2 linked regions of the Oryzias latipes genome follow. The protein of the gene in region 1 interacts with the protein of each later gene in a biochemical or structural test. Links are inferred from orthologs where the notes say so. Each region holds a gene or a part of one and is shown on either strand. Other genes may lie near its edges.

The links.
Region 2: of the proteins of dcaf1 (region 1) and ung, one has a biochemical effect on the other in vitro, tested with the Homo sapiens proteins (2 studies listed by BioGRID, with this or other methods). The link is inferred for Oryzias latipes from reciprocal best matches to the Homo sapiens genes DCAF1 and UNG.

What each region holds. Positions count from the first base shown.
Region 1 is NC_019865.2:16,270,546-16,273,967, forward strand, and holds the end of dcaf1 (DDB1- and CUL4-associated factor 1), read right to left. Parts: coding exon 3,385-3,422; intron 3,287-3,384; coding exon 3,213-3,286; intron 3,134-3,212; coding exon 3,038-3,133; intron 2,942-3,037; coding exon 2,662-2,941; intron 1,706-2,661; coding exon 1,650-1,705; 3' UTR 501-1,649; downstream 1-500. UniProt on the Homo sapiens protein: Acts both as a substrate recognition component of E3 ubiquitin-protein ligase complexes and as an atypical serine/threonine-protein kinase, playing key roles in various processes such as cell cycle, telomerase regulation and histone modification.
Region 2 is NC_019867.2:12,979,678-12,984,242, forward strand, and holds ung (uracil-DNA glycosylase), read left to right. Parts: upstream 1-1,497; 5' UTR 1,498-1,603; coding exon 1,604-1,897; intron 1,898-1,977; coding exon 1,978-2,073; exon of another isoform or gene 2,074-2,138; intron 2,139-3,180; coding exon 3,181-3,278; intron 3,279-3,406; coding exon 3,407-3,495; intron 3,496-3,589; coding exon 3,590-3,768; intron 3,769-3,848; coding exon 3,849-3,989; 3' UTR 3,990-4,291; downstream 4,292-4,565. Other genes in the region: DNA oxidative demethylase ALKBH2, read right to left, coding at 1-307, 415-552. UniProt on the Homo sapiens protein: Uracil-DNA glycosylase that hydrolyzes the N-glycosidic bond between uracil and deoxyribose in single- and double-stranded DNA (ssDNA and dsDNA) to release a free uracil residue and form an abasic (apurinic/apyrimidinic; AP) site.

The sequences.
Region 1 (3,422 bases):
AAAACCAAGTTGTTAAAAAACATTTGTGATCCAACTGTCAAGGCAAATAAATGCACTGTATTTTTTGAGGGGAAAAAAGATGGATTTATGAACTAAAATGTATAGGAATAAAGCAAGTTAGTTAAACCAATGTCAATGTCAGAGTATAATTTGAATTTTTGAAAGCTTTTTGAATCACCTGAGTCCAATGTTGATAAACAGGTACCATCTATTCCATTGTAGAAATTATCCCTATGCTCCTTCAAACATTAGATTTGCACTAATTCATTCAAATGATCTGTTTTTGTTTTGTCTTTAAAATTCACAATGGAAAAAGCCTAAGGAACTTTATTGCATAATAGTATAAATAAATTGGCCTCCCCTTGTTGCATCATCACATCACACTGTATAATAAGAAAATGTGTTTAACTTTTGCTGTATTTGAACTGTTCCTCTTAAAAAACAGATTTAACATTTGTCTGCAAACATGGGTCACTCTTCTTCAAAAAAAAGCACAGGAGTCAAAGCACAAATTGTTCCGTTTTATTTATAGTAAAAATACTTTAGATACATACAACCTGTACAGTAAATGTGTTGAGAAACTCAAAGGTCTCCAAAAGGGAAAAGTAAATCCTAGAAACAAGAGAACCAAAAAAGTATACCATGTTGCACTGCGTTAAAGTGTGCGTGTGCTAAGCCTTTGCTTTTTCAAAAATGACAGTATCCAACATGTCAGGGGGGAAAAAGAAAAAGAAAAAAAAATTCACACACAGCATATTTTTGCAGCGTTAATCACAGTTTCTCAATATTCCAAGAATTGAAACGGTTTAACCATCAGTCCGCTAATTAACCACTCACTTCAATAACCAATGAGATTTGAGAAATAAAACAAAGTTTTCTGAACTTTATTTAAATAACTGGACCTGTGCTGGTTCCAAGCACACAAAACCCTGCATTTTTCCAACCCTGCGAGCATCCATGGAAGTCGGATCACTTTGTGAGCTCAACCATAAGATTGTAAGGAGCTAAAGACATCCGCTGCCTGCTGGACGGCTGTGAACTTGTGTCACTGGTGTTGTTACAATGTCTGCACTCGCTGGAGTGACAGCTTGATCCAATTCTTCTGTTTACATAACAAAATCAGGAGACAACATCTATTATTGGAACTGCTGAGTGGCTCTTTGGCAATCAAGAGCCCCGTGTGTTAAGATCCCTACAGCTGCCTAATTCACGGATGTTGTTGGGCTGTTTTTTTTATTTATTTTTTCCCAGACAAACTACTTGCCTTGCAACTCACATGTTGTCCTTCAGTCAGGATGGGTAGAGAATTAAAAAGGAAAAGTCAGTTGAGAAGAACCATACTTTGTGTCTTCAAAGATGGAGAGAATGAATCAATTTGAAACAAACTGGCTTTTTAAAAAGCCAATAAAGTGAGAACTTCTAAAACCTTTTTTCACTACATCTACATAGTGGCCTTTTTAAACACATCAAACCAATTTTTAATAGAAAGTTATATACTTTACAATCATTTTTGCCCAATGCCATGTCTCCATGTTCTTCTCTGCTCTTTCCTACCAAGGATCATCTGTGTTTGAGACTTTTGTAGATTATCAAGACAAATAAACTGTGGTTTTCCATGGACCCCACAGTCCTGGACGATGGGGGTATCTTCACTCATTTAGGGATAAGATGATGTCATCCTCCAGATCGGAGTTGTCCGAGCTGTCTGTTGGTGCAGCAGATCAAATGGAGATTTGGATATTAAACAACAAACATTTGGTCAGAGCATCACACTAGAAGAGCAAACGTGAAGGCTTTCTAATTCGTTTTTTATTTTCATACAGGTCTTTGGTTTACTTGCGTCTTTATTCTTAAACTTACTTCTGAAATATTCAAATTTTATTTTTAAAAATAGAAGATAGTCACTCAAAAAGCAAAACCCTTTTTTTGGAGGAAGCTTAAGGTTAGGTTAACGTTTTTTTTTAAAACTGTTCTTAAAATAAGTTAAACAGGCAACAATGAGGCTTTACTCTAAAGATTTTGAAACATGTTTTTCTGACTGGGAAAAAATGTGTTATTACTGAAGGAATATGAAATAAAACTGTTTATGTAGCTTTTAAATTAATTCTCTTTATTTGGCAAAGTGTCTGACAAATATGAATTGAATTGCAAGTCTTAAAAATTAAACAGCAGTTACCACTTTGGAATCATGTGGCACCATAACAGGCACCCAAACACAAAGGAATGACTCCCAAATGAAAACCTTTTTGAAAGTGCAGCAGAAAATAAATGCACATCCACCTCAGGGAGCTCTATGAAAAACATTCCTGAAGGACTCGATTATTCCCCACAATCAGCTGTGTGGAAGCAATCAGGTGGTTGAGTTTAAGGTCAAATCTATGCCAGATCATTCAAACTGTTCTTTTTTATTCTTTTGCTGTGATACAAATAGCAAAAGAAAACTGGCAGTTCATTTCATTAATGCATTGATGAGCACCACTGATTAGATGAAAGACAGTGGCCCTAATAATATAAGTTATCAAAGGTTGTGGTTTACTTTATAGAAAATATGTAATTCACGCTCAAGTACAGAAAATTCTGTTTGAGTCAATAAAACTGAGTTCTTCCAGCAACTTGTAAAAACTACTTATAGAAATGTGTAGACTGCTCACTTATACTCACCATTGTCACCTTCCAGGTCTGCATCGTCATTGTCAGAGTCATCCTCTTCATTATCATCGTCCTCTTCATCCTCATCCTCGTCATCGTCCTCCTCGACGTCTCCATCGTCTTCAAGAAGGCGTGCGACTTCCTCATCGGATGGAGATAATGCTTCATTGCCGTCATCGTCATCATCCTCTCCTCCATTCTCGTTTTCCAGCTCAGCAATGAGAGGATCCGTATCAACGTCATCATCAGAATCGTCATCATCGTCATCGTCTTCGTCTTGGTCATCATCCTCCTGCAACACAAAAAACAAAACTAAAGTTTCAGTCATAAAGTGCAGGTATAAGATCTGCTTCTCAGTTCAGATTTTATGAAAAAAAAAAAGTTTAACCTGATCTTCCTCATCCTCCTCCTCTTCTTCTGCAAGTCGCTGCCGGCCGACTTCATAGAGGCGACACACAGTGTCAGTGTTGACAGAGTCTTGGTTCTATTGAAAAGACAATAACATAGCTTATTTTTGGAAACTTAGGCAAGCCAAAAAGATTCTTTCAAAATATAGAATTTACCTCAATCACAGCCAGATAGCAGTCTTTTGTATCTGTGCAGAGGTCAAATATGTTCCTCTTCACATCTATAGTGGCTGCAAAAACAAATGATGTGTCACTTTCCTGAGAAATTCAAGTCTTTTTAAATCAAAGTCACATAAACATCATGATCAGCTTCTTTAGAAAATCTTACCAATGGGTTTGTAGTCTGTAGCATTAAAGGTCCTAAAC
Region 2 (4,565 bases), on another chromosome or scaffold:
CCACCTCCTCCTCCAAATGCTTAAACAGCTCATCGGCTTCCTTTTTAGAGAAAATCAATGCATAATCACAGTCGAGTCCCTCTGCCTCTATTTTTTGCCAGGGAACAGGATGGGAGAACTCTCCTAGTTTAGTGTCACCATCTTCCTCTTGTATGCCCTCGTCATCATTCAGCAGTTTCATCATCTTCCATTCCCTTCTTTCAGGGGAATTCTTTGTGCATAAACGCTTATGTCGCCTTTGAAGAACACCGTTTTCCATCATTGCAGAAAAACACTGGTGGTTCTCAGGTAAGTAAGATTTGATCTCCTTGACAAGACAAAGAAAAATATTATAAAGGGGAAAATTAGTCTTTACAATAAGGCTGTCATTTACGAAAAACATTGAGACTTTCTGCTTTCAGCTGATCTTCCTACTCGTATGATCCGTGGATATCCATGTCTGACCTCATCTGTCAGTCTGTCCATCGCCACAGTAAACAATGGAAAAAAAAAGCTGATCCTTGAAGCAGTCCCACCTCCACCGTGAACTTCTCCATCACACCTACAGCACATCTCACTGCTGTCTTACATCCTGCTCAACTCCAACACATTTCTGACTCTTCATACAAAACCCCAGCTCCTTTCTCTGTATCCCGTCATTTCCATCTAGATCTAGAAAGACACAATCCAGCTCCTTCTGACCTTCTCTTTTCCAGAAGCACCCTCAAAACAAATGACATCTGTGGTTCTCATTCTCTGCGTGAAACCTACTGTTGCTCAAAATGCTCACTTCTGACCTCAGCCTTTCTCTTAACACACAGTCCTGAACTTCTTCATTCCACAACCAAGTCTAAATTATCTGCTTTGATCCCATAAATCCGGAAAGTTTTTCTGTTATGTTCAGTTTGTTTTTGAAAGAAAACCATTTAATCCACTAAACAACTTCCACTTTTCTTCATAAAAACCCTGACTTCTCTTACCTTCATAAGACGTTTCTTCTACCAACTATCTTCCAAAAATGTCAGCATTTTGCAACATGTGGCCTGAAAAGCAATTCAAGGTAGTTTGCTTGACCAGACAAAGTTTATAACAGCTGCTGCAGAAGCGTGAAAACTGGCTGCGCTTGAACGGCGCTCAGCTCATTACCATAAATGCTTTCGTCACTAAATTAAGGCGCGAAAAGTCTTAACTATAGTCCGCGAGGTCGTTTTACCTGGAGTACTGCAATTTATCTGCTGTGAATGAATTAGCCGGATAGAGTTAGTCCTTCCAGACAGTATAGGACAGTTTATTTCTTCAGTATTTTGGAAAAATGATTGGACAGAAAACTATTAACTCCTTTTTCTCGCCGGTTTCAAAAAAGAGGTTGTCTCAGGAGACGAATAAAACAACGGAGGATGATATTGAGCCAGTAAGCATCACTTTCTTTAAAATTATTTCTTGTTTTTTAAACAGATAATACACAAATCAAATGTAATTAACTCGACTTGGACAACTTTACTTGCAGTCCATGCACTGATGGTGTTGTTCTCGCGAGATTTTTTAATGTTCCCGTGCTGCGTTCGTGGTCTTTTCGATACTCTGAAATGTCAAAGATGTCGTTCCCTGCTAGCGTAACAAGAAAATGTTAGCACCTTTGTGTTTTCTGGGTATTAATAAATGTTCGTTGCATATATCAAGTTTCATGCCGGTTCGTCTTTCTTCTCAATATATTAAAATTATCCAGAAGAAACCGAAGATCGCTGCAGTGGACCCAGAACCGCAAAGTTCTCCTCTGTCTCCGGAGCAACTGGACAAGATTGCCCGCAACAAGAAAGCCGCGCTGGAGAAGCTCGCTTCCGGGCTGACGCCGCAGGGGTTCAGCGAGAGCTGGCGCAGGGAACTCTGGTCTGAGTTTTCCAAACCATATTTTAAAGATGTGAGAGAGCCACGCGTCTGCATGCACTGCGGTTTCTGTTGTTCAGCAGCTCTATTGATTGTTTCCTATGCGTGCCACAGCTGACAAAGTTTGTTTCTGACGAGAGGAAGCGCGGTACTGTGTACCCACCTGCCGAACAGATCTTCACCTGGACCCAGATGTGTGACATCAGAGACGTGAGTTGGACGCACAAACATCTGACCACGTGGTCAGACTGAGTCAACAGGTGGGAGGAGTGGATCCTTGCCTCTGAACTCACTCTTTTTTACAAAAAAAAGGTGTGGGGGGGGGCGTTTTGTGTTAAAGATTTCTTCACAAATATGATCAGCCTATTTAAAGATCGCAGATCTCAAACTTTTCAATACCCTCTATATATAAAAACTAGGCTTTAGCTGCATTACATCATCACAAGTGCATAAAAGGTACACCAGGGAGCCACTTCAAGTTATTTATTTTACCCCATAAGAACCCATGGGGACACCCGTGTGACTAAAAAAATAATCAGAAATGTGTCTTGTGGTCTGTGAGTATCCCACAATGTTTTCATTTAAGGTCAACCAGATCTGGGTTCTTATGGATTTTAAGGAAAACCTTCGACTTCCATGCATGTTTAGTAAATGGTAATCCTGTTGATAAATCTGTATCCTGCAAAGTGCACAGCGTATTGCATTTCTTCTTTAGATTACTGATAATTTGGTATGAATAGTTGGTGTGATGATGAGGATGCAGATGAAGGGTTTAGATGTAGGCTGATGATTTGCAGCCAAAGGGCAAAGAAGATTAAAAAGCTAAAACGTTTATAAAGTATTGACCTGTTGTCCACATGGACTGTTTGCAGCATTAGATGTTTTTTTTTAAAAAATATGTATTTAAAAGGTTTTCTCTCAACTTTTAGCCACCATAAAGTAATTTCTAATAAACAGAAGAAAAAGGAGGTACCAGGTGAATATTTTTTGGCCATTCAGATGGGTTTTTCTCAAAAGCAAATGCCTACATCGTTTTTTTTTTAAACATTTCTCTTGCTGATAACGGAGTGTTTAAAATGACTACAGCTTAGATAATTGTGTTTTCTATTCTAATTCAAGAATATCAGTGATTTACAATTTTTACAGCACTATTTCTTATTTTGGGTAATTTATTTACATGTCCTAAATAAAGATGGGAAAGGTGTGGAATCAGATTTGGTTTCATCCAGAAGTCTTATCTGTACGTGAAAAGTACATTCAATGAGTATTTTTTTTGAGAGGAGGACTTAGAAATCCTAAAAACACATCTGGTTTTAGGTCAAGGTGGTGATTCTGGGACAGGATCCGTATCACGGTCCAGGTCAAGCGCATGGATTGTGTTTCAGCGTGAAACGACCCATTTCTCCTCCACCCAGGTTTATAACTATTGTGTTTCCCTTCATTTATCTATCGACACATAATTCTGATGATCTTGGATGCTCTGCACTACAGCTCATCTAAATAAAAATCTGCATTTTGACACTTGTTTTTTTTTTTCCTCCAGCTTGGAGAACATGTACAAAGAACTGGTTTCTGATATTGAAGGCTTTAAGCATCCTGGTCATGGAGATCTCACTGGATGGGCTCAACAGGGTAAAGATTCAAAGATTGCTTTGAATGTTTCCGTTTTGCAGATTTGGTCATCCACGAACATGCTGTCCGTCTTTCCTTTGACCGTTCTCACCAGGTGTGCTCTTGCTGAACGCTGTGCTGACCGTTCGAGCACACCAGGCAAACTCCCACAAAGACAAAGGTTGGGAGGTCTTTACTGATGCTGTGGTTCAGTGGCTCAGCAACAACCTACAAGGCCTAGTCTTCCTCCTCTGGGGATCATATGCTCAGAAGAAAGGATCTGCCATCAATAGGGTACTCCATCTAACCTTCAAAATGTCAGCAGAGGCCTTTGTAGCGTAGCAGTCATTGTATGCCTTTCTATCTACTTCTAGAAACATCACCACGTGCTGCAGGCGGTGCATCCTTCTCCCCTGTCAGCACATCGAGGATTTTTTGGTTGCAAACACTTTTCAAAGGCCAATGAGCTGCTAAAGAAATCTGGAAAGTCTCCCATTGATTGGAAAGCACTTTAACTTCACGTGTTTGATAGATCTTCCAACATGTGTTCCTTAACTCTAGACCAAAACCCACTCATAAGCTTTTACTTTCTCTTCCTGAAACAGTTTATACTTGTAAGTTTGCCTTTTTTCTTTTAACTACTTATTCTAATAGGCAGTTTTTGTAAGATGCCTTTTCACCATCTTGGCCGTCAGATCTGGATGGTAGCTGTTGTTGTGCGACTTGTCATGAGTGTTGTGCAGATATAGCATTAAATATATCTGTATGTTATTAGCTTTTAGTTTATGCAATAAAGTTTATTGTCTTATCAATTCAATTCACGTTTTGTCGTGAACAATCTTTTTACATCAATGGATTGTTTTACATCATCAATGTGAGCTGAACTTAGTGTTTCCTTAAAAATGTCTAAAAGAATGAATTTCCAGAACCGTAATGAAGGTGAGGCAAGAAAATCCCAGTTGAATTTGTAATTCCGTCTTTTATAATAAAAAAAACAAATTACATTTTTTAAACCCAAGTCACTACTAAAGAAAATAAAATTTTAAGATTTTTGTTTTTTTTAGCCAAAGGGGAATCTCTTCATCTTGGAT